Linked DNA regions of Tamandua tetradactyla. Each later gene encodes a partner of the first gene's protein in a complex. Links are inferred from orthologs where the notes say so. Each region holds a gene or a part of one and is shown on either strand. Other genes may lie near its edges. The genes, in order: SMC5 and EID3.

Region 1 (15,566 bases):
AATTCTTGACTGTTGGAATATGGACTAATAGTTGTTTGTTTCTGCTTTTTTTTTTTTTGTACTCTTCAAATTTCCTAAAATAATAATAAAAATGCAAATGCAATTTTAATTATAAAACAAAATTTATGGCTACCAACTGAAGTTGCGCAAGTGAGAACTTGAAACCAATGAGTTTATAGGGGGCTCAACAGCATCCTAGTTTGTTAGAGATGCTGAGACAAAGTGTCACTCTTGGTGACTGATGCCAAAGAGCTCATTTATTTTATAATTTATGTGACCTATACGGTCAGTTTTACTGCAGTTCTGACAATTACCAACTTTCTTTCCTCTGGGAAGTAACAGGATGTGAGGGAAAACACTCTCACCCTAGATCTCCCAGGCCTCAGCTTATGCTTCTGACCAAGCCTGAGTGAGCAAGATTTTCAGTCCAATTTGCAAAGACTTGCAGAGAAGATTTCACACAGTATTCTGGTACCTTTGTTTGTGATCTTTCTGAAATGGAAGGGAAATACCAACTTAATACTGCTTTCTCACTTTATGTCCTAGAAAGAGATGAAAGCTGGTTTATCTCTAGGCTTTCCATCATGACACATAACAAAGAACACTTTAAGTTGTATTACTTGTTGGTGGGGTTTTTTTTTTTTTGTCTTTCATTTGGTTTTTGTATCCAAGAGATGGAAATTTTTAAGACAGGCAAATCCATTGAGACAGTGATCCAGAATATAAAATGAAATATGGAAAAGTGCTTAGAATTGTAACTGGTGTACGGTAAATGCTTAGTATTAAAATGGCTACTAACATTATAGCTATTAATATAACCAATCCCAGTACTATCTCACTACTACTATAGTAAGAAGAAGCAAATGTTTCGATTGTTTTAAGCTTTTGTATGATGTTTGAAACTAATTTTTGAAAATTAAAAACTTTAGTAGAAGGATACTGGGTGGTAGCTTAGTTCCACTGGGGGAAGGGTCTTTGTTCTTCTCAGAATTCCTTATTCCTGCCAAGACCTTTCCCATTAGTTCTTTTTTTTTTTTTTTTTTTTTTTTTTTTGTTACATGGGCAGGCACCGGGGAGCGAACCCAGGCCCTCTGGCATGGCAGGTAAGCATTCTTGCCTGCTGAGCCACCGTGGCCCGCCCCCCATTAGTTCTTTCAATGAGGTTTATTAGAACGTATGGGGTTGTTTTGTGTGTGTGGGCACTAAGTTCTTAGATTTTAGCATCTGACTTACCACCTCTGCCAGTTTAACTGTTGTGCACCCCAGAAAAGCCATGTTCTTTAATCCTCATTCAATATTGTTGGGTGGGATCTTTTTGACTAAGTTGTTTCCATGAAGATGTGACCCACCCAATTGTGGGCGGGACCTTTTGATTAGGTGTTTTCTGTAGAGATGTCTCCATCCATTCAAAGTGGATCACTTATTAGAATCCTTTAAGAGGGAACTATTTTTAGAAAAAGCTTTAGGGCCCACGCAGCCAGGGACCTTTGGAGATGCAGAAAGAAAATGCCCTGGGGAAGCTGTGTGAAAAAGCTGTGAGAGAAAGCTCTCAGACATTGCCACGTGTCTTCCCAGCTGAGAGAGAAACCCCATACGTCATCAGCCCTTTCTTGAATCAAGGTATCTTTACCTGGATTCCTTAGTTTGGACATTTTCAGAGCCTTAGAACTGTAAACTTGCAACCTAATAAATTCCTTTTTAAAGAGCCATTCCATTTCTGTCATATTGCATCCCAGCAGCTTTAAGAAACCAAAACACCACCCTTCTAGACCACAGGGTTCACCTTCCACTTCATGTGGTTGCCAAAAGCAAAAGTAATAATCCTTTACACTTGTAATGTAAACCTCAGATTATTCCTGATACATGTGGTGGTTCTTTTTAGAGCAGGAATAGTAAACTAATTCAGTCAGAGATAGTCTCAGTAGACTTCCATTCTTTGCACCATGCCCCACATTATGACACATGCGGCATGTGTGTTACGACAACCTTACAAAAGGCCTGGAGTGAAGCCAAGGATGACAATACAATAGGTAAGGTGAAATGTATTTATAACTTTCCACCCTGATCATTTCTGCAAGTTTTTTGTTTGCATTAGCTTTAAAGTTTCTGCAGCACAGAAAGGCTGTCAGTTAAAATGGCCCCAGTTCACTCATTCTATGGTGAGTAGAAACAGTACAATTGCTCTGATACATCTTTTAGCTAGCAAGAAGGGGAAGATAACCCCAGTTCGTGGCTGGACTTTAAACTCTGGGAAGAGTAGAATTAGCTGCTACGTTAATTTATTCCTTAGCATAGGATTCTGGTTAATTGATACTATATTCTATTTCCAAAGCCTTCTCCCTCCCTCTGCCTCTTTAACATCACCACTTCAAGCATTTTCACCAGTGACATTAAAAAAAATCCAAATGTGTCAAGATAAATATGTACACTTTTAGGGGTGCTATGAAAATTTTAAAGATGCTAGTAAGCACTGAGCTGATATAGCCTTTCAGAAGTATTCCAGTTACATGTGAACTTCCAGTCACACAGAGCCCAATAAAAGGTAATGATTTAAAGAAATTGTGGTACATCTATTTAATGGAATAACATATAGTTATTTAAAGCTGTGTCATAGAAGAATATTTAAGGGCATAGGAAGGAAATATATTCATAATATATTGAGGAAAAGGGAGTTAAACAACAGTACAAATAGTACTATATGTGCAGTATCATCTTATTTTTTGGAAGGAAAAAAGTATACAAGGAAAAAAAATGTCAAAATATACACCAAAATCTTAACAGTACTTAGCTCTGGGTAAAAGAATTATGGGTAATTTTTCCCATTGCGCATGCTTGTTTTTCTGTGTTTTCTTAAAATTTCTGCATTTAACATGTATTATTTTTGTCATTAGAAGCAAATCCAATAGCATTTTCCATTTTAAGGGATGGTGCTAATGCATGACAGGCAGCTGTTTAGAGGACTCATGTGCCTGCATTTGTAGGTTCATCACAAGTTTAGAGACTCATTTTTTTTTTGGTATTTGTGATAACTTTTTACTTGATATTTTTTATTAAAAAAATTTACAACAAATGGACTTCCGGAGAAGATGGCGGCTTAGTAAGACGCGCGGGTCTTAGTGCCTCCTCCAGAAAAGCAACTAAAGAAACAGAAACAATACGAAACAGCTCCCGGAGTCACGACAGAGACCAAAAAGACAGCGTACCCCATTCTGGAACAGCTGAACGGGCAGGGAGAATCTGCTGCGGTGAGCTACCCGAGGGGCGCGCGTTTTCCCGGCCGGCTGGCGACTGGGGTCCCCTCCACGCACGTGGCTCCCCGGTCTGACTGGGAACGTTGGATAGCGGGGCCCTCCCGTCACGCTTGGCGTTTCGGGCCAGCTGGGCAATTAGGACCGGCACTCTCCCAAGCCGCGGCGGCCAGCGACCCCCACCTCCACGCGTGGTTTCCCGGGCTGACTGCCGTGCAGACAGACGAGCGCCACGAGCGCCACCTACTGGGCAGGAAAAGAAAAACAGAGCCCAGAGATTTCACAGAAAAAGCTTTCAACCAGCTGGGTCCCACACCCAGGGAAATCTGATCAAATGCCCAGACACCAGCAGAAAATAATGGATGACGCTCGGAAAATTGAAGATATGGCCCAGTCAAAGGAACAAACCAATAGTTCAAATGAGATACAGGAGCTGAGACAACTAATGCTGAATATACGAACAGAAATGGAAAAATTCTTCAAAAACCAAATCAATAAATTGAGGGAGGACATGAAGAAGACATGGACTGAACAAAAAGAAGAAATAGAAAATCTGAAAAAACAAATCACAGAACTTATGGGAGTGAAGGACAAAGAAGAAAAAATGGAAAAAACAATGGATACCTACAATGGTAGATCTAAAGAGACAGAAGCTACAATTAGTGAACTGGAGGATGGAACATCTGAATTCCAAAAAGAAACAGAAACTATCCGGAAAAGAATGGAAAAACTTGAGCAGGGGATCAGGGAACTGAATGACAATATGAAGCGCACAAATATACGTGTTGTGGGTGTCCCAGAAGGAGAAGAGAAGGGAAAAGGAGGAGAAAAACTAATGGAAGAAATTATCACTGAAAATTTCCCAACTCTTATGAAAGACCTAAATTTACAGATCCAAGAAGTGCAGCACACCCCAAAGAGAATAGACCCAAATAGGCATTCTCCAAGACACTTACTAGTTAGAATGTCAGAGGTCAAAGAGAAAGAGAGGATCTTGAAAGCAGCAAGAGAAAAACAATCTGTCACATACAAGGGAAACCCAATAAGACTATGTGTAGATTTCTCAGCAGAAACCATGGAAGCTAGAAGACAGTGGGATGATATATTTAAATTACTAAAAGAGAAAAACTGCCAACCAAGACGCCTATATCCAGCAAAATTGTCCTTCAAAAATGAAGGAGAAATTAAAACATTTATAGACAAAAAGTCACTGAGAGAATTTGTGACCAAGAGATCAGCTCTGCAAGAAATACTAAAGGGAGCACTAGAGTCAGATACGAAAAAACAGAAGAGAGAGGTATGGAGTAAAGTGTAGAAAGAAGGAAAATCAGATATGATATATATAATACAAAAGCCAAAATGGTAGAGGAAAATATTATCCAAACAGTAATAATACTAAAAGTTAATGGACTGAATTTCCCAATCAAAAGACATAGAATGGCAGAATGGATTACGACCCAGCAATACCACTGCTAGGTATCTACTCAAGGGACTTAAGGGCAAAGACACAGACGGACATTTGCACACCAGTGTTTATAGCAGCATTATCTACAATTGCAAAGAGATGGAAACAGCCAAAATGTTCATCAACAGACGAGTGGCTAAACAAACTGTGGCGTATACCTACGATGGAATATTATGCAGCTTTAAGACAGACTAAACTTATGAAGCGTGTAATAACATGGATGGACCTAGAGAACATTATGCTGAGTGAGTCTAGCCCAAAACTAAAGGACAAATACTGTAAGGTCCCACTGATGTGAACCGACATTCGAGAATCAGCTTGGAATATATCATTGGTAACAGAGACCAGCAGGAGTTAGAAACAGGGTAAGATAATGGGTAATTGGAGCTGAAGGGATACAGACTGTGCAACAGGACTAGATACAAAAACTCAAAAATGGACAACACAATAATACCTAAGTGTAATGTAACTATGTTGGAACACTGAATGAAGCTGCACCTGAAATATGGTTTTTTGTTTGTTTGTGTGTTTGTATCTTTTGTTTTTGTTTTTTTTCTTTTTCCTTTATATATATATATATATATATATATATATATATATATATATATTATTAGTATTATTATTTTAATTCTCTTCTCTATATTAACATTCTATATTTTTCTGCTGTTTTGCTAGTTCTTTTCCTAAATCGATGCAAATGTACTAAGAAATGATGATCATACATCTATGTGATGATACTAAGAATTACTGAGTGCATTTGTAGAATGGAATGATTTCTAAATGTTGTGTTAATTTCTTTTCTTTTTTTTGATTAATAAAAAAATTAAAAAAAAAATTTACAACAAATGAACTAAAACATTAATGTGATCATTCCGTTCTACATAATCAGTAATTCACAATATCATCACATAGTTGCATATTCATCATTTCTTAGAACATTTGCATCAATTCAGAAAAAGAAATAAAAAGACAACAGAAAAAGAAATAAAACGAAAACAGAAAAAAAAAAGATTATATACACCATTCCCATTACCCCTCGCCTTCATTGATCATCAGCATTTCAAACTAAATTTATTTTAACATTTGTTCCCCTTATTATTTATTTTTATTCCATATATTCCACTCATCTGTTGACAAGGTAGATAAAAGGAGCATCAGGCACAAGGTTTTCACAATCACACTGTCACATTGTGAAAACTATATCATTATTCAATCATCTTCAAGAAACATGGCTACTGGAACACAGCTCTACATTTTCAGGCAGTTCTCTCCATTACATCTTGGATAACAAGGTGATATCTACTTAATGCATAAGAATAACCTCCACGATAACCTCTCCACTCTGGAATCTCTCAGCCATTGACACTTTGTCTCATTTCACTCTTCCCCTTTTGGTCAAGAAGGTTTTCTCAACCCCTTGATGCTGAGTCTCAGCTCATTCTAGGGTTTTTCTCAAACCCTTGGCTGAGTCTCAGATCTTTCTAAGATTTCTGTCCCACGTTGCCAGGAAGGTCCACACCCCTGGGAGTCACGTCCCACGTAGACAGAGGAGGGTGGTGAGTTTTCTTGTTGTGTTGGCTGGAGAGAGAGGCCACATCTGAGCAACAGAAGAGGCTTTTGGGGGTGACTCTCAGGCCTAAATTTTAAGTAGACTTGACCTATCCTTTGCAGGGTTAAGTTTCATATGAACAAACCCCAAGACTGGGGGCTCAGCCTATAGTTTGGTTGTCCATACTGCTTGTGAGAATATCAAGAATTCAACTTGGGGAAGTTGAATTTCTCCCCATTTAGAGACTCATTTTTAACTTTCAAATTCAGAAACACAATTTCATTAGTTCACTCAAGACCTGATTACAGTACAAAATGAGCAAGACTGGTTCTCTACCTTCCTCCAGTTACTATGATCTATACTCTTATTTTTCCATTCATATATATTCCCCCAAATGTAATTATTCCTTCCAAGAACTTGACTCTTCTAAAGATTTTGAAGCAGAATGCCAAAATTTCTTTTTAAAGAGGGATGCTAGAATTGTGCTCTGAGTATTTTAATATTATTATTGCCTGCCACTTGAACTGTTTTAAAGTTCTTTTTAAGTTTTTAAATTTCCCATAACCATCACAAATTCACACGTTTTTTACTTATTCTGTTTTGTTTGGTTATAATTTCCACGAGTCATAACCATTGTATGTGAGAAAGGAGCATTTATCTGGGAGTCAAGAATCAAGGTTCCATTGCAATGGTAAACAGCCTTCCTGATTTCACATTTGACCCCCTTCATGCCACAGAGTCGCCATTTTAAAACTTTAATCAGGTCATGTCAGTCCCCTGCTTAAAATCACCCAGTGGTTTCTTACTCCTTTTAAAATAAAATTTAAACTCTGCCACCGTAACGGGCAGCCAGCTCTGGACTTCCCTTTGTTCTTCAAACATCCCAGGTTGTTTCCACCTCAAGGCTTTTGTCCGTGCTGGTCCCTTTTCCTTTTCTCAGATCTTCACACACTTCGCTTCTTCTCTTTCAAGATTCAGGTCAAACATCGCATCCTTTGGTAGCCTTCCGTGCCTTCCCCCATCACATTATTTTCTTCACAGCATCTATCACCGTCAGGAATTACCCTGATCATTTGTTGGTTCACTCATTCTCTTTCACAACTACTAAGTTCGGAGGAACGCGATCTTTCTGCCTCATTTACTGCTGCTTCCGGAGCTCGTGGTGGATAAAACGTTAGTTCAGTGAACGGAGATCCTCGCAGGCCCCAGGCCCGTATCTATAATGGGGATTAGCTAGGTAAATGTGAGCAGGTTAAAGTAGAATCATATTTTCAGTGAATCTACCCCATTTTAGCTGGGGAAGAAAATTTACGAGGGAATTTGGTAGGCAGCAGGTGGAGAGTCAGTAAAGATTATCAGTGCAGTGCACTCTTTTTCACAAGTTTGAAAGAGCAAGAGACTTAACACGACGCTTTGAGAGAAGCATCATGGGGTCATTTGAAAGAGTTTTAGTTATTTTTTTTTTTTCCTGCGGCGAGGGCCTGATCTGAAGCGAAGGAAAAAGAGCAAAAAAAGGAAAAGGGAAACCAATTAGAGAAAAAGTCAAAGACAGGCGCGCTCAGGCATCTGGGAGGAGTCCAGCAAGCCCGACCAAACTCCGCCGGCCTCCACCCCGGCCGCCACCCCCGCCCAGCGCCTCGGGTGCCACTCGCAACCGCTTCCCTCTACCCGCTCCCGCCACACGTAGTCGGGTTCCGGGAAGCGAATCGGATCTCTCCGACGCTAAAATGGTCTTTCAAAATACTAAAAGCAACAGGCAGGTACAGAGTCCCGTCAGCACACTAGCGCCCGCCAGCAACTCTCGCCTCCTAGCCTGCAAAGCAGAGCGGGACGGGGCAGGTGACGCCGCCAGGCCAGAACTGCGCAGGCGCCTGGAGGGCTCGCGGGCTGTGTTGCGCGCCCGGCAGTTCGCGCGGGAGTCGGGAGCCCGGGCGCCGCGGCTGCAGGTCAGTGGGAACGGAAGCCGGTGCAGCTCGGAGAGGAAGCCAGGATGGCGACTCCGAGCAGGAAAATGTCGACCCCGAGTCCTCTGGCCTCTAAGAGACTTCTTCCGAGAGACCCTTCGTCGGAAGTCCCGAGCAAGAGAAGGAGTTCGGCCCCGCAGCTGCCGCTACCGCTGCAACCGTCCGGCTCTTTCGTGGAAGGCTCTATCGTCCGTATCGCGATGGAGAATTTCCTGTGAGTGACCGAGAGGCCGCGCCGCAGCCGAGGCGGCAAGCGGGCTCGCAGGCGGGGGGCACAAGCTGCGTATATGCGTGTGCGCACCGTGGGGTATGGGGGTGTTTGTCGGTCGGTGTGGGGAGAGACTGCGCCAGGGTTGTCGGTCTGGCAGTGAATTCGTGCTGAAGTCCTGTGTTACCGTGAGGATTTGTTTATATACAGGCCTGAAAATTGACGTGTGTGTTGGTTTCTTATGTGCGTGTGTTCTGTGGAGTCTTGTTTTTAATCGTTCCGCTAACGTTTTTCGAAGGCTTCATATGTCAGGCAGCGGATGTGTAAGGTTACTGAGAGTTACGGTCCATAGGGGTCATAATCTATAATTCACGAAACAGTGGGCCTATAGAAAACTATGGCACTCAGAGAAGACAACAGTTAAATCCTAGTGACAGTGATGCCGTGGCAGATTGTTAAAGAGTAGGCATTTGCCAGTGATCAGAGAGAAATAGAAAGATGGTAAAGGTTGCTCCAAATGGGGGGTTCGTCTGCAAGAAATTAAACCTCGCTGTCAGTTGCTGGGACTACTAACATTCTTGAGCCCTGCAAATTCAGCTCTCTTTCCTGATTCCTTTTCTCTCCCTTTAGTCAGTTAGTAATCGTTTTAAAATTTAGTAATTACGTTTTAATAAAACTAACTTATTAGTTTACACAGCCAATAAATAGCTAAGTTGCTATTTGATCCCAGATCAGGAAAGATAAGTAAATATAATTAAATGAAGTAGATACCAAAATAGTGTATACATCAGGATGCCATAGGGGCACAAAGGGAGAAGTAGTTAATATGCCCACAGAACAGGAAAGACTTTGTAAAGGGAATCAATGAAAATCTTGAAAGGCTAGGAGGCTTTTCTTCCCATAACAAAGACGGAAAGGCCTTTGCAGACCGAGGAACTGCCTGAAACAGTTTGGTATATTTAGAAAGTTTCTAGTGTTTCAATATAAGGAAAACATAGGATGTGAGTGAATTTGTGAACAGAGGTGATATTGAAGAGATAGGTAGCCATTGAGAATTTATATGTTAATTATGCCAAGGAATTCCAGCTTCTACCTGTAGGCAAGCAGGATGAGATTTAAACAGGAAATGACTTTGTTACTCTGGAAGCAGTGTGGGGGATGATATAAAAAGAGTACAAGACTGTAGGCAAGGAAACTTGTGTAGTATGAAAGCAAGAGGTGATCAGGACTTGAACAGAATAGCAATGGGGAGTAGGAGTGGAAAGAAAGGAAATTTGACAGGATCTAGCTACAGATTAATTGTGAAGCATGAGGGAAAGTTAGGAGTGCAGCATTTTCCCCAAGTCTTTGACTTGGTTAGTTGGTCAGATAGTGCTGCTATGCAGAAGACCGAGCAGTTTGGAGAGGATAACAACAAATGCTTTTTAGGTCCTGTGACTTGAAGCTTCCTGCAGGCCATCTAAGTTGTTCCATAGCAATTATATATAATTGCTTAGAGGAAGGTTTGTGAACAGATGAGAGATTTGGGAATCATGTATGTAGCTATAAGAATGGTTGAGATTGTACACAAGGAAAGAAGAGAAATTGAAGATCGAGTACAGAGTCTTGGGGGAAATACCATCATTTAAGTGTGAGCACAGGAGAACTCACAGACTGAGGAGGAACTAGCTCTTCAGGGAGGTAAGAAGAGAATGTGGGGGGAATGGTGTGGGTATTATCACAGGAGCCAAGGAGAAAGAATGTTTCAAAAACATGTACTGTGTTAGAGTTGAATAGCAAGACTGAAAAAAGCCCATGAAATACAACAATTAGTAAATCTTTGACTTTTGATGAAAAAGTAGAAGCGAGAAACTTTATAGGGAAACAATGTAGTGGGAAACAATGCAGGCCATTGTAGAATAAATGAGGGTTCACTTTTATGTGAAGAGGAGAAAGAAAAAATGATGGAAAAGTGTAGAGCCGCTTGATGTTTTCTTTGTTTAACAATGAGAGGATTTTGAGTTTTAGGAAAGAAGTAGAGGGTTAGCTTTAGAGACGGGAAATGGCCTGGAAGAGAGTACAGTCTCCAAGTAAAGGTTTGGAGAAAGAAGAAAAAAGAAGGTAGTCAGGAAACTCAAAGAAGTAAATTATAGTTGGAATTTAGAGGTCTGAGCAGAGGACAGGAGAAGGAGATAGAAAGTAGTGAAAGATGAAGCTAGGGCTAAATTGTGAAGGGTCCTGATTTATCCATCCTTCCATCTACTGTCTGTTGCTCCCTCTTCAAGTGACATCACATTTTCATTTTGAAAAATAATTGCTTAAATTGCAGTAACGAGATTAAATTAGGAGTGGGAAGAGTTAAGCAGTACTAAAGAAGGCTATTGCCATAATTCTTATAAGAGATGATGGGGACCAGAGTAGTGGCAGAGGTGGATGAATTCAAGAGCTATTTAAGAGGACCAGGAAACATGACTTTGTGATTCATTCAATGATTGGGGGCAGGGGTGGGGAGTTGGGGGTAGGTTATGGGTAGAGTTGAAGGAGATGGAAGAATCGGAGATGATACAAAACAAATGCCTAGGTTTCTGAATTGGGCAATGAGATCAATGATGTTGCCATTACCTGAGATGACAAGCATAGTTTTGGATCAGAAAAACCGGTGAATAATTTTTGAACATGTTATGGTTGAGGTAATTGTTGTCAGATACCTAAATAGATTAGCTATAGAGTGGGTATTCTAGTTTGCTAGCAGCCGGAATGCCATATACCAGAAACAGAATGGCTTTTAAAAGAGGGAATTTATTGAGTTGAAAATTTAAAGTTCTAAAGCCATGAAAATGTCCCAATTAAAACAAGTTTAAAAAAATGTCCAAATTAAGGCACCAACTAGAAGTTACTGTCACTCAAGAAAGACCCATGAAGTTCATAGTTTCTCAACTGGAAAGGCACATGGCCAACATGGTGATGTCTGCTAGTTTTCTCTCCAGGCTTCTTGTTTCATGAAGTTCCCCCAGGGGCACATTCCTTCTTCATCTCCAGAGGTCTCTGGCTGTGTGTCTCTGCTTCTCGGGGCTCTGCTGCTCTTTCCAAAAAAATATTTCCTCTTTTTAAAGGATTCCAGTAAACTAATCAAGATCCACCTGGAATGGTAGTCATGTCTCCCTCTAATCAAAGGTTAATACCCACAATTTTGTGAGTCACATCTCTGTAGAGATAGTACAATCAAATTCCCACCCAGCAGTATTGAATGAGGAATAAAGGACATGGCTTTTCTGGGGTACACCACAGATTCAAACCGGCGCAGTGGGTAATTGCATAAATACTCAAATGGGGTGACTTTCAACATGTAGATGGTATCTGAAGCCATGGGAAAAACATGAGCTATCGGACAAACTGTGTAGAGTGAGAAGAGGGTGGGCCCTTGACAATAACTCTTTCAGATGGACAGAGAAAAGAGAGCTCACTAAAAGGGCATTCCCAATGAATGGTGTAGTCAGAGAATGATTTTTTTTTTTTTAAATGCAGAGGGTTTATTTTGTTTTTGGCAGTTATTCCTATTTATAATTGCTCTGTATATGTTAGAGACCAGAATTTTTCTGCTTTTTCATATTATTTTTATTGTTTTCTGAAATACCAGTTACATTGCTATTTTATTAAGACATTTGTGCAAAGATTTCCCTGCAGTAAATTCATGTGTTGAAAGAATGGAGTTTTGTTTGTTGGGATTAAGAAGGTCCATGTAAGGTAATTTTTCAGCTGTCTGAAGTGCCCAAACTAGTTTTGTTGTAGCCATATGTGTTATTTTTACCATTTGTAAAAGGGAATTTAATGTATAAATTCTTGAAGCTAATCATTAAGGCAGAAAAACTATGGACGCTATTTTTCCCATCTTGATCAAAAACTACTCTGTAAAGCTGATGTGGAAACAGTGGGAAAAGCCTTTTAATAATGGATCCCTCAAATTGCTAACACAACAAAACATCTTAAAAGATAAAGTAGCTAAGTAATGTGAATTGAGAGGTGTGGGGTTGGTAAACTTACCAGAAAATACTTTCCCTTTTCCACCTATGTTTTTTTTTTTTATTATCACTTGGAATTACAAAGTAAGTAATCTCTTTGAGTATTAAAATGAGTTATGATTGTTTAAATTCTTCATATACCTGACAAGATAGTTGCAGATTATTTATTCCTTAGGAATTAGTTAAGTTACCTGACAGCTAGCTGAGACCCTCTGGGAATGGGACATTCTTTATGGGTTCCAATTCAGGGTATTCAAAGACAGATTGGAAGGATGTCCAAGTCAGAGTTTGTTTCACATTTTGCCATAGTTGCTATAGCAGTTAATAAGGATTAGATGCTAACTATTGCTGGTAGATAGGATACTGGACAGCGTGCAGCTTTCTGGCATAAGGGAATATTACAGAAGTGCTTGGTGATGCACTCTTATTTCCTCCTACAGGAATAAAATTTATTTGAACATGGACTAACAACAGGTCCTTTGGTGAATCTTTTTTTTTTTTAGTTAAAATAAAATATGTTATTCTTCAGTTTTCTAATTACAATAAAAATAATATGACTGGATTGTTTCAAATATTAAAATTTGGAGATTGCTATTAATCATTTAATTCAAGAGAAATATAAATATGAAATCCACATATTAAGATAAGCCGTGGCTTCTCTAACAAAATTTGTCATAAAATTATTTTGTTTGTACATTAGCCTATGAATTGTAATTATTACAGAAGAATAAATTATATCAAACTTTGTTTTATTCAACACTAATTTTTTAAAACTTTTTTATTAATAAAAAAAATTAACAAACAAAACATTAAGATATCATTCCATTCTACATATACAATCAGTAATTCGTCAACACTTATTTTGAAAAAGGTATGCAAAGTCTTATTTTTCCACTGACTTTTTTTTTGGTTGGATATGCATCGTTGCCTTTTCATTTCTTTCACTGATAGATTTTTTCCCTCTAGTTTATTAAAAACCTGTAAATAACATTGTTTATAAGTTTAGTTGACTTTTTAAAGGAATCTGAGTGAGCCTGTAAATAATGATAATATTAAGTAACAAAAGTACTTTTATAGAAAAAATATTCTCCTCTTAACTCTGTTTAGTAATTTCAACTCTTTATAATTCAGGACGTATGATATCTGTGAAGTATCTCCTGGACCCCACTTGAATATGATTATTGGAGCTAATGGAACAGGGAAGTCCAGCATTGTATGTGCCATTTGCCTTGGGTTAGCAGGCAAACCTTCTTTCATGGGACGAGCAGATAAGGTAAGTTAACATAACTGTTTATGTATTTTTAATTCAAATTAAATCAACTGCTTGTAGTAACAAATCAATTCTTGTGTTTCAGTTCCTTGGATGTAGTAAATATGTAGTGTTTGAATATAAGGAATGAAGTTGGCAGGTGGAAAAGTTGGTAAGAGATTACCAGTTTTGGAAGTATGTTGGACTCTACTTAGAGAATTTTCCAAGTACCTAACACCTAAAATGCTAGAAATATGTGAAGTTTGTCTTTTATAATGCAGTGCTGGGCTTTTGGAAAGGTGGAGAAAATGAGCCAAGGGCAAAAACAAATACAGCGTATTTTGTTTGTCCTTCACTTTTTTGCACTTCATAGTTGTGTTTTTTTTTTTTTTAACAAATTGAAGGTTTGTGGCAACCCTGCTTCAAGCTTGTCTGTCATTTTTTCAGCACATGTGCTCACTTCGTATCTCTGTATCACATTTTGTTAATTTCACAATTTTTCATATCTTTTCATTATTGTATCTGTTATGATCTGTGATCAGTGATCTTTGATTTTACTATTATAATTGTTTTGGGGTGCTATGAACCACACCCATTTAAGATGGCTAACTTAATTAATGAATATTGTGTGCATTCTAATTGCTCCACCAACTGGCCATTTCCGAGTCTCTCTTCTGTCCTCAGGCCTCCCTATTCCCTAAAACACAGCAATATTGAGATTAGGCTATTAAAAACCCTACAACGGCCTCTTAGGTATGCAAGTGAAGGAAAGAGTCACATATCTCTTACTTTAAATCAACACCAATAAATGATTAAGTTTAATGAGGAAGGCATGTCAGGAGCCGAGATAGTCTGAAAGCTAGGCCCTCTTGTGCCAACCATTAGCCAAGTTGTGAATGCAAAGGAAAAAATTCTTGAAAGAAATTAAAAGTGCTTTTCTAGTGAACAGATGAATGATTAAAAAAGGAAGCAGCTGTATTGCTGGTATAGAGAAAGTTTTAATGGTTTGGATAGATAATCAAACCAGCCACAACATTCCCTTAAGCCAAAGCCTAATCTAGCATAAGACCTTAATTCTGTGAAAGCTGAGAGAGGTCGGGAAGCTGCAGAAGAAAAGTTTGAAGCTAACAGAGGTTGATTCCTGAGGATTAAGGAAAGAAGCTGTCTCAATAATATATTATTAATGAATATTAATAATATTCATCAATTAAGTTAGCCATCTTAAATGGGTGTGGTTCATAGCACCCCAAAACAATTTAAATATTAAAATCAAAGACCACTGATCACAGATCATCATAACAGATACAATAATGAAAAGATTTGAAGAATCAGAGTACAAGGTAAAGCAGCAAGTGCTGATGTAGCAGCAAGTTATCCAGAAGATCTAGCTAAAATAATTGAGGAAGGTGGCTACACTAGACAGCAGATTTTCAGTGTAGATGAAACAGCCTTCTATTGGAAGAAGATGCCATCTAGGACTTTTATAGCTAGAGAGAAGTCAGTGCCTGGTTTTCTTTTTTTTTTTTTCCTTTTTATTGCTAAGTAGCATCCCAGGGCAGGAGTGCCTGGTTTTCAAAGCTTCAAAGGATAGGACGATTCTTTTGTGAGTGGCTAATGCAACTGGTGACTTTAAGTGAAAGCCAGTGTGCATTAACCATTCTGAAAATCCTAAGGCCCTTAAGAGTTATGCTAAATCTACTCTGCCTGTACTGAGTAAATGGAACAGCAAGACTGGGAGGACAACACATCTGTTTACAATATAATGCACACTGAGTATTCGAAGTCCACTGTTGAGACCTACTGCTCAGAAAAATAAATTCCTTTCAAAATATGACTGCTCATTGACAACACATCTGGTCACCCAAGAACTTTGATGGAGATTAAG
Region 2 (16,075 bases), on another chromosome or scaffold:
TTTTTGAGGACAAGGCCAGATTTGGCTGCTCTTTCCCTCTCTGTGCTTCTACAAATTCGTATCTCTGGAAAATGAGGAATCCTGCTTATGCCAATTTTTTGGTTATATGCTAACGGTAGACATCTAGCCTTATTGGTCCTGTGTATATAGAGTTCAGCAGCTGTCTGAGTGAATATCCTGTCAATGATAGTGGCTCCCATTTACTGAATGCCTACTATGTGTAGACTCTTAAATTTAGTAGATTAAATCCTCACAACAATCTGACGCAGCAAGTATTCCTCATTTTTCACAGATGAGAAAAAGGAGGCCCTGAGAGCTTGGCAGCATGCCCAAGATTAGGTGGCTGGCTAAGAGGCAGAGTCAGGATTGGAGCCCAGTCTGTCAGCCTGCAAAGGGCATTCTGAGTACTCACACTTCTGGCATCTGGCTTTCTGCTCCTGCTGTTGGGATCCACACCTGATATCCCTGATGTGAGTGTCCTCCTGACTCAGAGCTGCACGCGTGGGAGCCTTGGTGTTCCAGCCAGGTGCTGGGACAGAGGAAGCCATCGGCCACTAGGTGCTTGCTGCACTGCTCTGCATCCCTGTGTCTCCTAAACCGTGCATTCCTTTAGGACGAGAATGATCTGTTTGATTCTTCCATGCTCTTTTTAACAACTAGTGAGCATTCAGTAAATATTTGTTGAAAGAGTGGATTGTGGTAGGACCAGAGGAGAAGACTTAAGTGAGGGATAAATCTAAAAGGTGTCTGATTTTATTTAAGGTGGGCTGTCTATCAGAGACCTAAGTTGTTGAGGAGAGATTCAAGGCAGCGTGTTGGAAAGCACAGTTCAGAGTTTTAAAAGGCTGTGTGACCGCAGCGTTGTGTGCTGGGACGACAGTGTTGGGAAGGAAGTCACATTACCTCGATTTAGCTGCCATTTGTTGAGCACCGTGTTCTCAACGTTGGGCTAAGTACATTGTCACCTTTAACACATCTTTAATATATCTGGGCAGTGTACATGTTTTAAAATACATTGTTAACAATGTTTGTATATGATTAAAAAATCATCACCACCACTCTGTGTGGCAGAGTGGATATCTCATATACTCATTTTACAATTCAGAAACTCGAATTTTAGAAAGAGGTGGAAAGTAATAGTATAAAAGTTTTTGATTTGTACCCAGGCCTCCAGAGCCAAGTTCCTTCAACACTGTCACTTTTCAGAACCACATACTCAGTTCTGTCCCCCTAGTCTCTCTATCAAAATGATTGCTCTTGGTCTTGGCTGACGTCTGAGTTGTTCCAAGAGAGTTGGTAACTGGCTGTGATTGTAACTTGAAAGAGTCTATTCTCTTCACTATTGTTTGTATTAATTCTTGAGGCTTGGCAAGTCAGCTAGCACTAGGTTTTCTGAAGTTGGTATGACTTTGACCACAGTGCAAGGGTGTGGGTTTTATGTACTCTAAAGTATTTTAGTGCAGGAGTCGAATTATTTTGTCAGACATGACTTCCGTTATATCTTCTTTTACTTCATTAATAATAATGCCATCTTATTTGAATAGAATAGTAAATTCAGAGACTCTTGGCGACTGGCCTTTTTTTTTTTTCTACAGTTACTAGTACTTTTTTTAAAGATTTTTATTGTAGACAACAAATAAATACAAGCATTTTTGACATACATTCTTAACATGGTTACAATCAGTGGCTCACAATATCATCACATAGTTGTGTATTTATCACCATGATCATTTTTTTGAACATCTGCATCTCTCCAGCAAAAGAAATAAAAAAGAAAAATGAAATAACTCACATATGCCATGCCCCTTACCCCTCCCTCTCACTGACCACTAGTATTTCAATCTACTCAATTTATTTTAACCTTTGTTCCCTTTATTATTTATTTCTTATCCATATCTTTTACTCATCTGTCCATACTGTAGATAAAAGGAGCATCAGACTGGTTTCATAATCACACAGTCACATTGCAAAAGCTATATCATTATATAATCATCTTCAAGAAACATGACTACTGGAGAACAGCTCTACAGTTTCAGGTCCTTCCCTCCAGCCACTCTAATACACCATAAACTAAAAAGGGGATATCTATATAATGCGTAAGATAACATCCAGGATGACCTCTCCACTGTTTGAAATCTCTGAGCCACTGACACTTTATTTTGTCTCATTTCTCTCTACCCCCTTTTGGTCAAGTCCCAGCTCACCCTAGGATTTCTGTCCCATGTTGCCAGGGAGGTTTACACCCCTGGGAGTCATGTCCCATGTCATGGGGGGAGCGTTAGGGTGTGGGAGTCATGTCCTGTGTAGATGGGGGGAGGGTGGTGAGTTTGTTTGCCATATTGGCTTAGAGCAAGAGGCTACATCTGAGCAACAAAAGAGATTCTCTGAGGTGACTCTTAGGCCTAATTTTAAGTTGGCTTAGCCTATCATCTTCAGGGATGAGTCTCATAGGGGCAGACCCCAAGATTGAGGGCTCAGCCTACTGATTTGGTTGTCCCCATTGCTTGTGAGAATCAGCTGAAATCTTAGAAACTGTTCATGAGGAAAATGTACATAGAAAATTTTGCACGTGATTTCTAACTCTTTGTGGGTCTGTGTTAGGATTTCTGGTAGAGAGGCTGACCCTTTCAAAGCGCTGTATGTGCTCTCATTAGTTGAAGCCTTAGTAGTTTTTTCATTTTGTTATATGGTTATTTTCTTTCCACTGGTATTTGTTACAGTGGGATATATTCCTGTATTCCTCTTTATGGATTTAACCTTTAAAAATCTTTCATTCCTAGAACAGCCAGGAAGGGTTTACTTTCTGTTCCCAATCCAATTTTGTGAAAAAAATTTACAAATTTTTTTCTTTTTAATTTCTCACATTTACTAAACGTTTTGTTGTCTTTCAGATAGCTTAACATTTATTACTCGGAAGCTGAAAACATTGTGTCAGATCCATTACATAGTTCTCACTCAGTACTTAGGGTAACTTTATGATGTATTAAGTAGTAGTATTCCCATTTTAACAACACCAGAGATTGAGAGGCTGAGAAATCTGCTTAAAATAACACTGGTAGCTAATTGATCAGATTGGAGCCCAGGTTCATCTCCTCCTACTATGCTCTTTTCAGAAATTCATTTTAAAAACACACAGATTATCTGCCTTGATCATAGCAAAGTTCACCTTTAAACTTTATTGTTGTTTTTTTGATACCAAAAAACAAAACAAAGCACACACACACACACACGCACACACACAAGCATAACCTTAAGGAATGTTAAGATGAGAGAGAAAATATACCTAATGAACCAGACTTGGACTTTTACCACATTTCTTCAGAGTTCTGTATTAAACAGACACCCTGAATTTTGAGGGGTGCGATGCTCCTGTGAAAGAAGGAGTGGAATGCGTTAGGAATGTGGCTAAGAGCAGGGTGGGTTTAGCTGGTTAGAGTAGGGGATTCCTGGCTTTGGCTCAAAAGAATCTTTTTAAAACCCATGTGTTACAAGCTAGTCCTGCAGTAAGAATCCCACTGGAAAAGACAGTGGACTCTCTGTGTGAATTCGCTTCTTATGTGACCAGAGAGACCTGTCATCCTTCCCATCATGTCTGTGTTAAGTAGTAGGGGTAGTGGGAAAGAGCTTAAGAGTGATTGGAATTGGTGAATCAGAACTCTTGAAAAAAAAAAAAGGACTGCAAAATAATATTGGAAAAAAGACTGAAGAGAAGAAGAAAGGAAATGAAGAGCCCCAGCTCCTGAAAGAGGATAGGAAGGGAAATGAGGAGGAGTTAAATTACCCTGAAGCATTACTCAAGTGTTGTCTCACAGTTGACTGAACTAGTCTTATTGCATAAAGAAGGGAGGTCTTACGTCTTTGAAGTACCAGTGTACTTCTACTTTCTGTTCCCAATCAGAAAAGTTTAGCAATGTAACTTGAAATTATATGTGCTTCCTTTTTTAAGTGTTTTTTTTAATTGTGAAATATAAAATATATTCAAAAAAGCATTAAAAAAATTTCCAAGTATAGAATATATTTTGAAGTTTGGTATGGGTTACAGTTCCATGTGTGCTTCCTTTTTAGGCTGCATTTAAATACTTGTAGAAATTGGACCATAGGTTAGAAAATCACAACTACTTGTTGATTCTTTGGGGAAAAATGTTTATTAATATGTAAAAGATCACATATCAACAAATAGGACATCTTTTGAAAAAATAAAACTAATTCTTTAACACTAGTATAACTTCATTTTAATGATTTTGTCCTTGTTTTCATGTATACATACTTTGATATCGTTGCACATTTTCATTATAAAACCAGACCTTTATATCTGATAGAAGTTTAAAAAGGGCAGAATGTAAATTGCTGGTGGTAGGAAGTTAAGATGTTTATACCAAAAAGTGAGTGCATATGAGTCAGGATCAGAAGAGAACATAGGAAAATGAGCACAGTTCATGTAAGTAATGTGAGGCAATCTTTAGGTTGCACCTGAAGTTGTTACTGTTTAGGTAATGTCCTATTTTCTGCAAAAGATAAATTATTGTTTATTTGTAAACAGCTTATAGGCAAACTGTCAAGAAGGTAAAAATGGTGAGCATTATAGAGAAGATTTAAGCCATTTAGTAGTGATTTTGAAATTCACAAGGGTAGAAATCTATTTCTTTGTGACTATGAGGAAATCTCTAGACTTGAAATTGTTTTACTTTGTAGCAGTGTCTGAAATCATGTGCTGTATTTGCAGTCAGTAATGCAAGTATGATTTTCTGAAGATGATTTAAATTACATTTTACTAAGGTTCTTGGATACAGGACCAGCATAGAATGAAAGTACTGGACGTCAAAATTGATTCATATACTGCTTGCCTTGATGTGTTCTGTGCCTCTGTGAGAGTTGTGTGGGTTGTTATCTCCTGAGAAATCACTGTAAATGGAATTACTAATACTTTATAAGTAGGTTGGGGGAGTTATATATTTTTCTGAAACATTTTGACATTTTCAGATGAAAGACTGTGTTTGAAGCAAATTGGTGTGTGAAGCAAATTTTCCTTCCTCTGAGCACAGGAGAAAATAAATACCTCGTGCTTGTCTTTTGGAGAGCTTTCATAAACTGCTTTTATTGAAGATAAATTATCAGAAGGATAGAATCCTCACTCCCAAGAATATGGTCATCTAGTAGCAAACTTTTCTGCATTTTGGGTCTTGGAATTATTAACTGTATGTTTTCACCTAAGATTTAAAATAGGTTTAAATTTTATTTTGTAATTGCCAGACATGGGGAAAACATGGCTCTTTAAAATGATCCTGATTCCCAAATTTGTTATTGTCTCATTTTCCCTGTTTTCCAGAAAGGGCATGAGGTTGACTTTTTTTTTTTTGGTTAGAAATAATTGTTTTATATAGTTGAGTGATAATTTAGATACACATATATACATATGCTTATCACAGTGAGGAAAAAATGGTTTAGAAAGAAGGGTTTTTTGTTTGATCTGTGTTTAAAGGGGTCACTAAAGAGAATAAACTTGCTTAGGAATTCCTTTTTAATAGTTTTCTTAAATAAAAGCATCCTTTGATCACAATGGAGAATAAATTCAACATTTATTCACTAATGCAATAAAAAAATACAATGTAGATGCTACCAACACAGTGAAAGGCACCTCTCAAATCTTAACACTACAAAAAGACTAGGGAGTTCTATAGAAGATTAAAGGCATTTGGGGATTTCTCAACATCTTGATGACCAGACAACAAACTGCAAGATATCAGGTAAATGATATTAGCGAGAGTAAACTAGGTACTAGGTATCATGCAAAGACTACATATATTAACTCATAGCATCATATCTTATCTGCACTAAGCAATAAATGACCTCCATTCTGCCATTACTAACTAACAGATTGTGGCCGTTCTTATTTTCTGGTTCCAGGGAAATAACCAGAGATGCAGCAGTATAATAAATAAATGTGATTTTCCAGGCTTGCCAGTTGCTAAAACAGAGTCTCCAGGACTATACTAGATGCTTATGGTAGATCTGCACAGGCTAATTTTAAAGTGCATGTAATTTAAGCCCGAGCCTCTGAAATATCATTTGTAAGGTAATAGTTTTATATATTCATAAAGTTTAAATTAAGATGAAACAATCTCATATAAATAAAAACTTGTTAAGAGGCATCCAGTCTCTTATAGGCTTCTTCAGTGAAAAAGTTAGTATGTCCTTCATCTGGGATGAATTGTGAAGAACATCCCAGTCCTTCAGAAGAGCATTCTGGTTTGGAATCAGCATCAAAATTTCTTTCTCAAGTACTGGTGCTTTGAGACTGTTCTGAGAAAGCTCTGGAAGAGAGAGTACTTCACTACTATCCATTTGAAACATCTGTTTTACCTTCTCCTCCTCTCCTTCCATCTCATTTGTCAGAATGTGAAGTTTGCTTTTGAGGCTTTGAATGTTCTCATTGACTCTGTGGTCTCCACTATTTTATCTGTTTCTTCCTGCAATATTGCCAGACCTTCTTCATTAGCACTGTGCTATGCCCTTTCCATTTTCAGTAGACTTGACACTGTTAAATTTTTCTGTTTCACACAGTTGTAGCAATCTTTTCTTCAGACAGTTGAGATGATACTGGATTTGTTTGTTTTCTTTAATATTGTTACTCAAATTGCTATTATTACTGACTCCATCATAGATTGTAAATACTTTCTGCTACTCCTTGAAAGACGTTGCCAGGTTTTTCTCTTGTTGGATGTTATCTTTATCTGTTTCAGATTAGTATGCTTTGTTTTTCCATCTGGAGAGAGATGATTTGGGTGTTTTTAAACCCTCTTTAAGGTGTTTAAGAGGGTGTTTCTACCCTCTTTCTCTGATAACTCCATTTCTTCATCAGTTTTTCTTTTTGGATTTCTTTTTAACTTGAGATTTTTTCTTGGACACATTTGCTTTGTCAGGCATCCCCTATAAGTGGGAACAATTATAATGTGCTTCAAAAATCACTAATTCCTGTGGGTTAGTATTTAGAGAAATTGGCGCCCAAACAATCGAAAACCATGAAACCGGGAAGTGGCTGTGTAGCTGAGGTTGACTTTTTATAAAAGAAGTCAGATTTTACTTTCAGTGTGTAGGATAAATGACCTATACTAATCTGTGAATTTGATCTTTTCTGCCAAATAACTTCCAATAGGTGCTGGATCAAAGTTTTTAATCTACATTCATTTATTCATTCAGTGCATGCTTGAGTGCCTTTATGTGAAAACGGCTGTGTTTGGGAGGTTTAAAACCAAGTCTTTGCTTTTGAGATGCTAATGCAGAGGAGAATGTATATGCACAGGTAACTATGATGCATGTTGTTTTCGAAAAACACATCTTTCTGAATTACTCCTACTTAAAATAATTGTGGACAAAGAGTGGCATCATAAGGATTTTGGAGTAACTTAATAGTTGGTTTTGCTGTTCCTGCATTCGTATGAAACGTTATGCTACTACCTAAGAAAAATGAACCAGTCTGCAGAGGAAGGAAGTTACGGGTTAATTGACTTCCTGGCCCCTGAAGCCCATGATTGGCAGGTGTGGTGGGTCGCCTTTTTTCTTCAGCCCCCTAGCGGCACCTGTGGTGGTTAGTAAGCGCTTTCGATGGCGTGGGCTGAGAGCGAGTGTTAATCCCTTCCCTGTGCCTGGGTGCTCGGGACTGACCGGCCCTCTCCAGCCGGAAGCGAGTTTCCAGCCGCTTCGCTGAACTAGCGGGCGAGCCTCCCGCAGGGTCGCGGCGGGTCCCGGCGTTCGCCTTCGTGGCCCGACGAGTCCGGGCCCCAGGCCTCTTCGCCGCGCAGGCGACCCTGGCGGCCCAGTCCCCGTGAGCGCGCTCGCGGCCCGCGGTAGCCTTCCGCTCGGCGTGGGGAGCCGGGGGCCCCTCGCGAGTGCGCGCCCGCGCGCCCGCCCTTCCCCGGCCCCCGGGAACGAGTTCCCAGCGTCCACCTTGCGTTTGATCCTGGAGAGTTGGCCTCTATAATTGGGGTGTGCATTTCATTATCGTTGCCCCGCGAGCATTTTATAATCTAACCAGACTTTCGGGTTCTCAAAAAAAGGACCTTTTCATCGCGAGAAAGAAAAATGTAGGTCGGCCTAACTGCACTGTATCGCGGCGAATGTTTTAAAGAGTGGGACCTTTCCCCCCTGAGTTTGCCGTAGCATGTCTTTACAAATTGAGTGACATTGTCAGGAAGCGCTGAGCCAACACCTGTCCCTTGAGCAGGTGTTTTTCAAGTGCCCATTGTTGCGTGGCGTGCGGCCGCGGCCTGTCGCTAGCGCGGAGGCGGGGCCCAGCCGGCCGCTAGTGCGCATGGGCGGGGACGGGCCGGCCGCCAAGTGCGCATGGGCGGTGCTGGGCCGGCCGCTGAGGCGCGGAGGCGCGCGGCCTCTGGCTTCTGCCGGCTTCGGCGTGCGCGGCGGGGGAAACGTCGGGGAGGCGCCCAGCCGAGGGCGGTGGCTGGAGGCATGTGTGATGAAGAAGGTTCCCCGAGAGCTGGCGAAGAGAAGAGACAGAAGCCCGGGCGTGAGCCCGCCGTGAAGCCGGCGGCGGAGTCGAGGAAGGTGGAGGAGGCGGCGGGGCCTTCTAGCGACTCTGACGACCCCAGCTCCGGGGACGCAGACGTCGATCCCCAGCTCCTGGGGCTTGCGGATGACGAGGAGAAATGTCGGCGCATCCGCAGGCAGTACCGGCAGCTCATCTATAGCGTGCAGCAGAATCGCGACGACATAGTCAACACGGCGAGCGAGTCCTTAACCGAGGCCCTCGAAGAAGCCAACGTCCTGTTCGATGGAGTGAGCCGGACGAGAGAAGCGGCCCTCGACGCGCAGTTTCTTGTGTTGGCTTCTGATCTGGGTAAAGAAAAAGCAAAGCAGTTAAACTCTAATGCGAGCTTTTTTAACCAAGTAGCGTTTTGTGACCGTCTGTTTATGTTTGTGGGCCTAAACTGGATGGCGGGTGATGAGCGTGATGAGCTGGATGGTTGTGATGCTTCTTTGGCTGTTCACTTTTGGGAGACGGTGCAGAAGGAAGCAGCAACCTGGCTCTTGCAAGCTGAGACGTTCCACTTCATCTTTGGCTCTTTCAAGCATGAGTCTTCTGCACGGAAACCACGTCCTGAACACCAGAAAAAATCTCACAAAATGGAAGAAAACAGAGATATGCCGACAAAGCTGAGGAAGTTGGACCCTAGTAGTAATCAAGAAGCGACAGAAAAAGAAGTAGAAAGAATCTTGGGATTGTTGCAAACCTACTTTCGAAAATATCCTGATAGTCCTGTGTCCTATTTTGAATTTGTGATTGATCCAAACTCTTTTTCTCGTACTGTGGAGAATATATTTTATGTTTCTTTCATTATAAGGGATGGTTTTGCAAGAATAAGGCTTGACCAAGACAGGTTGCCAATATTAGAGCCAGTTAATATTGATGAAACTAGGAAAGGAAACAATTGCAGTTCCAATGGCAGGAAACAAGGAGTTATATCTTTGAGTTTACAGGACTGGAAAAATATTGTGGCAGCTTTTGAAATTTCAGAGGCTATGATCACAAACTCGTAGTAAAGATTTTTGTGCTTAGCATAAATGCGTTTTTGTTTTTTCTTAAATATCTGAAAATGGAGAAAGTAAAATCCAAATAGAAGAACATACTTTGTCTCTTGTAAAGTGGGAAACTTTTTTTTCAAGAACATTAGAAATTGTTTTACTCTCTAGTGTATTTTTCTTGGTAGCTTAAAAGATTGTCATGATCTTATGAAAGAAAAGTCACAGGTATTTTAATGGGAAAAAATGTTAAATACACTTTAAGACTATACTAGTTAAAATAAGTTGTGCTTTTAAAAAATTAATAAAATAATTGATTAATAAATTAAAAAGTATTGGGTAATACAGATGCAGATGCTCTCATAACCTGCTTTGCTTCCATTACTAGGAGCTCTGGGGAACATCAGGGGTTTCTTATTAGGTTGGGGGGACAGTTGGTGAAAAAAATGAGTGGTCAAGAAAGGCAGTTAATATGCAGCCTTAGGGCTAAAAATTCAGTTAACATGCTTCATTGCAGAGGAGGATACAGTAAGATCTCTAAGTGGGTAAACAATTTCTCCTGTGACCAGACTCAACAAAAGTAGAGTATCTTATCTCTGCTACAGGAGGGAAGGTGTCAACCAAGTGCTGAAAGGTGACAAGGAATTAGTCACAGAAGATGGGAAAGCCTGCATTGCAGGCAGGGAAACAGGGCAAACACATGAAAGTGTGAGAAGTTATGGCACAGAAGAACTATACAATTTCTAGGAAACTTCCATTTTATTTTGTTGAACTGGACAAAAAATAAATACCGTCATACACTAGTATCCCCAGTTATTTATTTATAGAATAAATATTTTTTTCACGTTTCTTCAGACAAAATTTTTTACCATCCAGTTATAGGCTTTATCTTTTTGGTAATTTCTTCCCTGATAGCAAGTTTTTCTCGTTGTAATATCTGCTTGTAAACAACATGCCTTTTAGAGTTAGTGATGTTTCATCATGTAAGAGCCTGGAGTATTTGTTCCAATTCAAATATGCATTTCTTTATAGAATTCTAAATGCCTGGATTTAAAGACTTTTGTTTAATTTAAAATACATGATTTATTTCAATGTTCTTTAGCATAAAGCCGTAGAGACTTTTTGTTGTTTGTTTTTTGCAGTTGTTTAAGAATATAAGTTACACCCTTGTTTGGAGATTGTTGCCGAAATTTTGATTCTTAGTGCAATTTTCAAAAGTGTTCAAAAAAAAAAACACCATTTTTTGAAGGTACAGTGAGCATGCAGTAAGCTTCTTTCCCTTATCTCTGTAGGAACGCAATATTTGGTAGTTGTAACTTTTTATCATTTGTCTATTAATTAGTTGACAAGTGTGTAAATATCTCTTATGCATAGCAAAGACAATAAACTTTTAAAACTATTCTGAGTTCAATCTGGTACAAGGAAGGAAAATCCAAAGATTAAATGAATGACATCAAGGTTAAAGTGGGTGGGTTAGGGGGGAATGTCGTGTGTGTGTGTGTGTGTGTGTGTGTGTGTGTGTGTGTGTGTGTGTGTGTGTGTGGTGGGGGAGGAAGAGGTGGGGCTCTTCACCAAAAATAGTGGAGATTTTTAGCAAGAATTGAACTTAGTCATGAATGTCTGCCAATTGTTCCTGAAGTAGTCATTCCTTCCTTTTCCTCATGTGAAGGAGCTAATGCTTCCTGGTCTCGTCAGCCTTTGATTTAACAGTCATAGATGCATCATTGTTTTACCAATCCTCACTTTATGTCTTTACCAACCTAATTCCTTAGATTTTCCAGAGACCTCCTGTTTGGGGAAAAGGTACTCTTAGAATAGCAAAAAGACCATGCTTGGATTCTTTACTCACCATCAGATTGCTCTGTTCACTGCCTTAGCATCTTTACTAAAACTATTTGACATTTACTGATAATTGAAACCTTTTGATAGAGAATGTAAAGATTTTGAGGAAGATATTTTTTGGAAGTCCTTGCTGAAGTTACAGCTGTTAAATTATAAGATTGCCCACTTATTTTGTGTACTCCAGATGCAGAGACGGAACATCTAGTTCATTGCTAAATATGAATAGAAATTTTCTTCCTGGATCATGTGATTTGGACTTTACACTTTTAACCAGAGTCATAATAGTGAAATCAAACTATATTTATCTTTTTGTGCCAGCTTATTTCACTTAGCATGCTTCAGGACCTCATTTTGTCTTCTGCATAATATTCCATCGTGTGTATATACCTGTATTAGTTAGGGTTCTCTAGAGAAACAGAATCAACAGGGAACACTTGCAAATATAAAATTTATGAAAGTGTCTCACGTGACCGTAGGAATGCAGAGTCCAAAATCCACAGGGCAGGCTGCGAAGCCGATGACTCCAATGGATGGCCTGGATGAACTCCACAGGAGAGGCTCACCAGCCAAAGCAGGAATGGAACCTGTCTCCTCTGAGTCCTCCTTAAAAGGCCTCCCATGATTGGATTTAGCATCACTAATTGCAGAAGATCAGCTGTGGATGTAGTTGATGTGATCATGACCTAATCCTATGAAATGTCCTTATTGCAACAGACAGGCCAGCGCTTGCCCAATGAGATGAACAGGTACCACAACTTGGCCAAGTTGACACCTGTCCCTAACCATGACAGTCCACCCCTTGTCAACTTGGCGCACGCACACACACACACACACACACACACACACACACACACACACACACACACACACACACACACACACACATATATATCACCTTAGACCATACTTAATTTCCAAATGAAAACAAATAAGCACACATTTTTTCTTTTACCTGACAATACTCAACTGTCCAGCATATAAATGGAAACACATTAAATCTCTCCAGAATAGGGTGCAAGTCCTTGGGCAACATTCATTCTTAAACTTGTTATCTTACAACTTAAATAGTATAACACAAACAAAACAGCATTACAGTCCTCGTTTCTGTAACTGATCACGTGGTCGAAGTTCATATTTATCACTGCCTTCTTCCACCACCCATTCCATGTTTCCTTTCCCCTCAGCAAGCACTTCAGCTGGCCGTGGTTCTTTGCCTGGTGGGGTGACCCAAACTTTCATTCCTGAAGTCTCAGAGCCATTAGTGGTCCTGCCTGGATTGTGTTGTTGCAGTTTTCCATTGATTTTAATCACAGGGCATGGTAGTACTAATAGACGCCCCAGGGGATCTCCTATATTCCAAGAAAACTCTTCTTTACCTCCATTATGTAGTTGCAGTCCTACTTCCTTCTGATAGTCAGGGTCAGTTACCCCAGACAATAATATAATCCCCTTCTTGGTGTGTTGATCCAGAGGCATAAGTAGCCCAAAGTGGCCAGGTGGCAATCTTAACTTCCAGTTCAGTGGTATCACTGTTGTTTCTCCTGGAGAAAGCACACCCCGTTTTGGAACTAAAACCTGTAGACCAGCAGAACTCAGGGTAGCAGGGACAGGAAGCAAAAATTTTCCTAGTGGATCATTAGGAGTAATAGTGAGTGGTACCACACCCATTTCCACCCCTTGGTTCCTGGACCCATGGATCCTGGCTATGGGAGAAACAGCACCATACAGCGGACGCTGATTCAGAGCATACACAGCTTCCTGGAGAACATTACCCCAGCCTTTCAAGTTTTTGCCACCTTGTCGGCACCGTAATTGAGTTTTCAAAAGGCCATTCCACCGTTCTATCAATCCAGCTGCTTCTGGATGATGGGGAACATGGTAAGACCAGAGAATTCCATGAGCATGTGCCCATTCCCGCACTTCATTTGCTGTGAAGTGTGTTCCTTGATCCGAAGCAATGCTATGTGGAATACCATGACGATGGATAAGGCATTCTGTAAGCCCACGAATAGTAGTTTTGGCAGAAGCATTGCGTTCAGGGAAAGCAAACCCATATCCAGAGTATGTGTCTATTCCAGTTAGAACAAATCGCTGCCCCTTCCATGAAGGGAGTGGTCCAATGTAATCAACCTGCCACCATGTAGCTGGCTGGTCACCTCGGGGAATGGTGCCATATCGGGGGCTGAGTGTGGGTCTCTGCTGCTGGCAGATTGGGCACTCAGCAGTGGCTGTAGCCAGGTCAGCCTTGGTGAGTGGAAGTCCATGTTGCTGAGCCCATGCATAACCTCCATCCCTACCACCATGACCACTTTGTTCATGAGCCCATTGGGCAGTAACAGGAGTTGCTGGGGAAACAGGCTGACTGGTATCCATAGAACGGGTCATCTTATCCACTTGATTATTAAAATCTTCCTCTGCTGAAGTCACCCTCTGGTGTGCATTCACATGGGACACAAATATCTTCATGTTTTTAGCCCACTCAGAAAGGTCTATCCACATACTTCTTCCCCAGACCTCTTTGTCACCAATTTTCCAATTATGGTCTTTCCAGGTCCCTGACCATCCAGCCAAACCATTAGCAACAGCCCATGAGTCAGTATACAAACGCACCTCTGGCCAGTTTTCCTTCCAAGCAAAATGAACAACCAGGTGCACTGCTCGAAGTTCTGCCCACTGGGAGGATTTCCCCTCACCACTGTCCTTCAAGGACACCCCAGAAAGGGGTTGTAATGCTGCAGTTGTCCACTTTAGGGTGGTACCTGCATATCGTGCTGAACCATCTGTAAACCAGGCCCGAGTTTTCTCTTCCTCAGTCAATTCACTGTAAGGAACTCCCCAAGAGGCCATAGCTCTGGTCTGGGAAAGAGAAGGTAATGTGGCAGCAGGAGTGGAAACCATGGGCATTTGTGCCACTTCTTCATGTAACTTACTTGTGCCTTCAGGACCTGCTCTGGCTCTATCTCGTATATACCATTTCCACTTTACAATAGAGTGCTGCTGTGCACACCCAACTTTATGGCTTGGTGGGTCAGACAACACCCAACTCATGATAGGCAACTCAGGTCTCATGGTAACTTGGTGGCCCATGGTTAAGCGTTCAGTCTCTACTAAGGCCCAGTAGCAGGCCAAAAGCTGTTTCTCAAAAGGAGAGTAGTTATCTGCAGCAGATGGTAAGGCTTTGCTCCAAAATCCTAAGGGTCTGCGTTGTGATTCTCCTACTGGGGCCTGCCAAAGGCTCCAGACAGCATCTCTATTTGCCACTGACACTTCCAGCACCATTGGATCTGCTGGATCATATGGCCCAAGTGGCAGAGCAGCTTGCACAGCAGCCTGGACCTGTCGCAGAGCCTCCTCTTGTTCAGGTCCCCACTCAAAATTAGCAGCTTTTCTGGTCACTCGATGAATGGGCCGGAGTAGCACACCCAAATGAGGAATATGTTGTCGCCAAAATCCAAAAAGACCAACTAGGCGTTGTGCCTCTTTTTTGGTTGTGGGAGGGGCCAGATGCAGCAATTTATCCTTCACCTTAGAAGGGATATCTCGACATGCCCCACACCACTGGACACCTAGAAATTTTACTGAGGTGGAAGTCCCCTGTATTTTTGTTGGATTTATCTCCCATCCTCTGACACACAAATGCCTTACCAGTAAATCTAGAGTAGTTGCTACTTCTTGCTCACTAGGTCCAATCAACATGATATCATCAATATAATGGACCAGTGTGATGTCTTGTGGGAGGCAGAAACGATCAAGGTCTCTGCGAACAAGATTATGACATAGGGCTGGAGAGTTGATATACCCCTGAGGTAGGACAGTGAAAGTATATTGCTGACCTTGCCAGCTGAAAGCAAACTGTTTCTGGTGGTCCTTACTAATAGCTATTGAGAAAAAAGCATTTGCCAGATCAATAGCTGCATACCAGGTACCAGGGGATGTATTGATTTGCTCAAGCAATGATACTACATCTGGAACAGCAGCTGCAATTGGAGTTACCACCTGGTTGAGTTTACGATAATCCACTGTCATTCTCCAAGACCCTTCTGTTTTCTGCACAGGCCAAATAGGAGAGTTGAATGGGGATGTGGTGGGAATCACCACCCCTGCATCTTTCAAGTCCTTAAGAGTGGCAGTAATCTCTGCAATCCCTCCAGGAATACGGTATTGCTTTTGATTTACTATTTTGCTTGGTAGGGGCAGTTCTAGTGGCTTCCACTTGGCCTTTCCCACCATAATAGCCCTCACTGCACGAGTTAGAGAACCAACGTGGGGATTCTGCCAGTTGCTCAGTATGTCTATGCCAATTATACATTCCAGAACTGGGGAAATAACTACAGGATGGGTCCGGGGGCCCACTGGACCCACTGTGAGACAGACCTGAGCTAAAACGCCATTGATCACCTGGCCTCCATAAGCCCCCACTCTGACTGGTGGTCCAGAGTGACGTTTTGGGTCCCCTGGAATTAATGTCACTTCTGAACCAGTGTCTAATAATCCCCGAAATATCTGATCATTTCCTTTTCCCCAATGCACAGTTACCCTGGTAAAAGGCCGTCGGTCTCCTTGGGGAAGACTTAGAGGAAGGTCAACAGTATAAATTTGTGGCAGTGTAACAGGTTTCTTCCCCATAGGGACCTGGCCTCCCCTTTATTCAAGGGGCTCAGGGTCTGTAAACTGTTTCAAGTCTGGAAATTGATTAAGG

What was found.
Region 2: SMC5 (region 1) and EID3 share a complex: the UniProt entries of both Homo sapiens proteins name them as parts of the SMC5-SMC6 complex. The link is inferred for Tamandua tetradactyla from reciprocal best matches to the Homo sapiens genes SMC5 and EID3.

The regions. Positions count from the first base shown.
Region 1 is NC_135328.1:100,311,827-100,327,392, forward strand, and holds the start of SMC5 (structural maintenance of chromosomes protein 5), read left to right. Parts: upstream 1-8,156; 5' UTR 8,157-8,252; coding exon 8,253-8,440; intron 8,441-13,563; coding exon 13,564-13,705; intron 13,706-15,566. UniProt on the Homo sapiens protein: Core component of the SMC5-SMC6 complex, a complex involved in repair of DNA double-strand breaks by homologous recombination.
Region 2 is NC_135333.1:174,446,036-174,462,110, forward strand, and holds EID3 (EP300-interacting inhibitor of differentiation 3), read left to right. Parts: upstream 1-8,351; 5' UTR 8,352-8,463; coding exon 8,464-9,552; 3' UTR 9,553-10,933; downstream 10,934-16,075. UniProt on the Homo sapiens protein: Tissue-specific component of the SMC5-SMC6 complex, a complex involved in repair of DNA double-strand breaks by homologous recombination.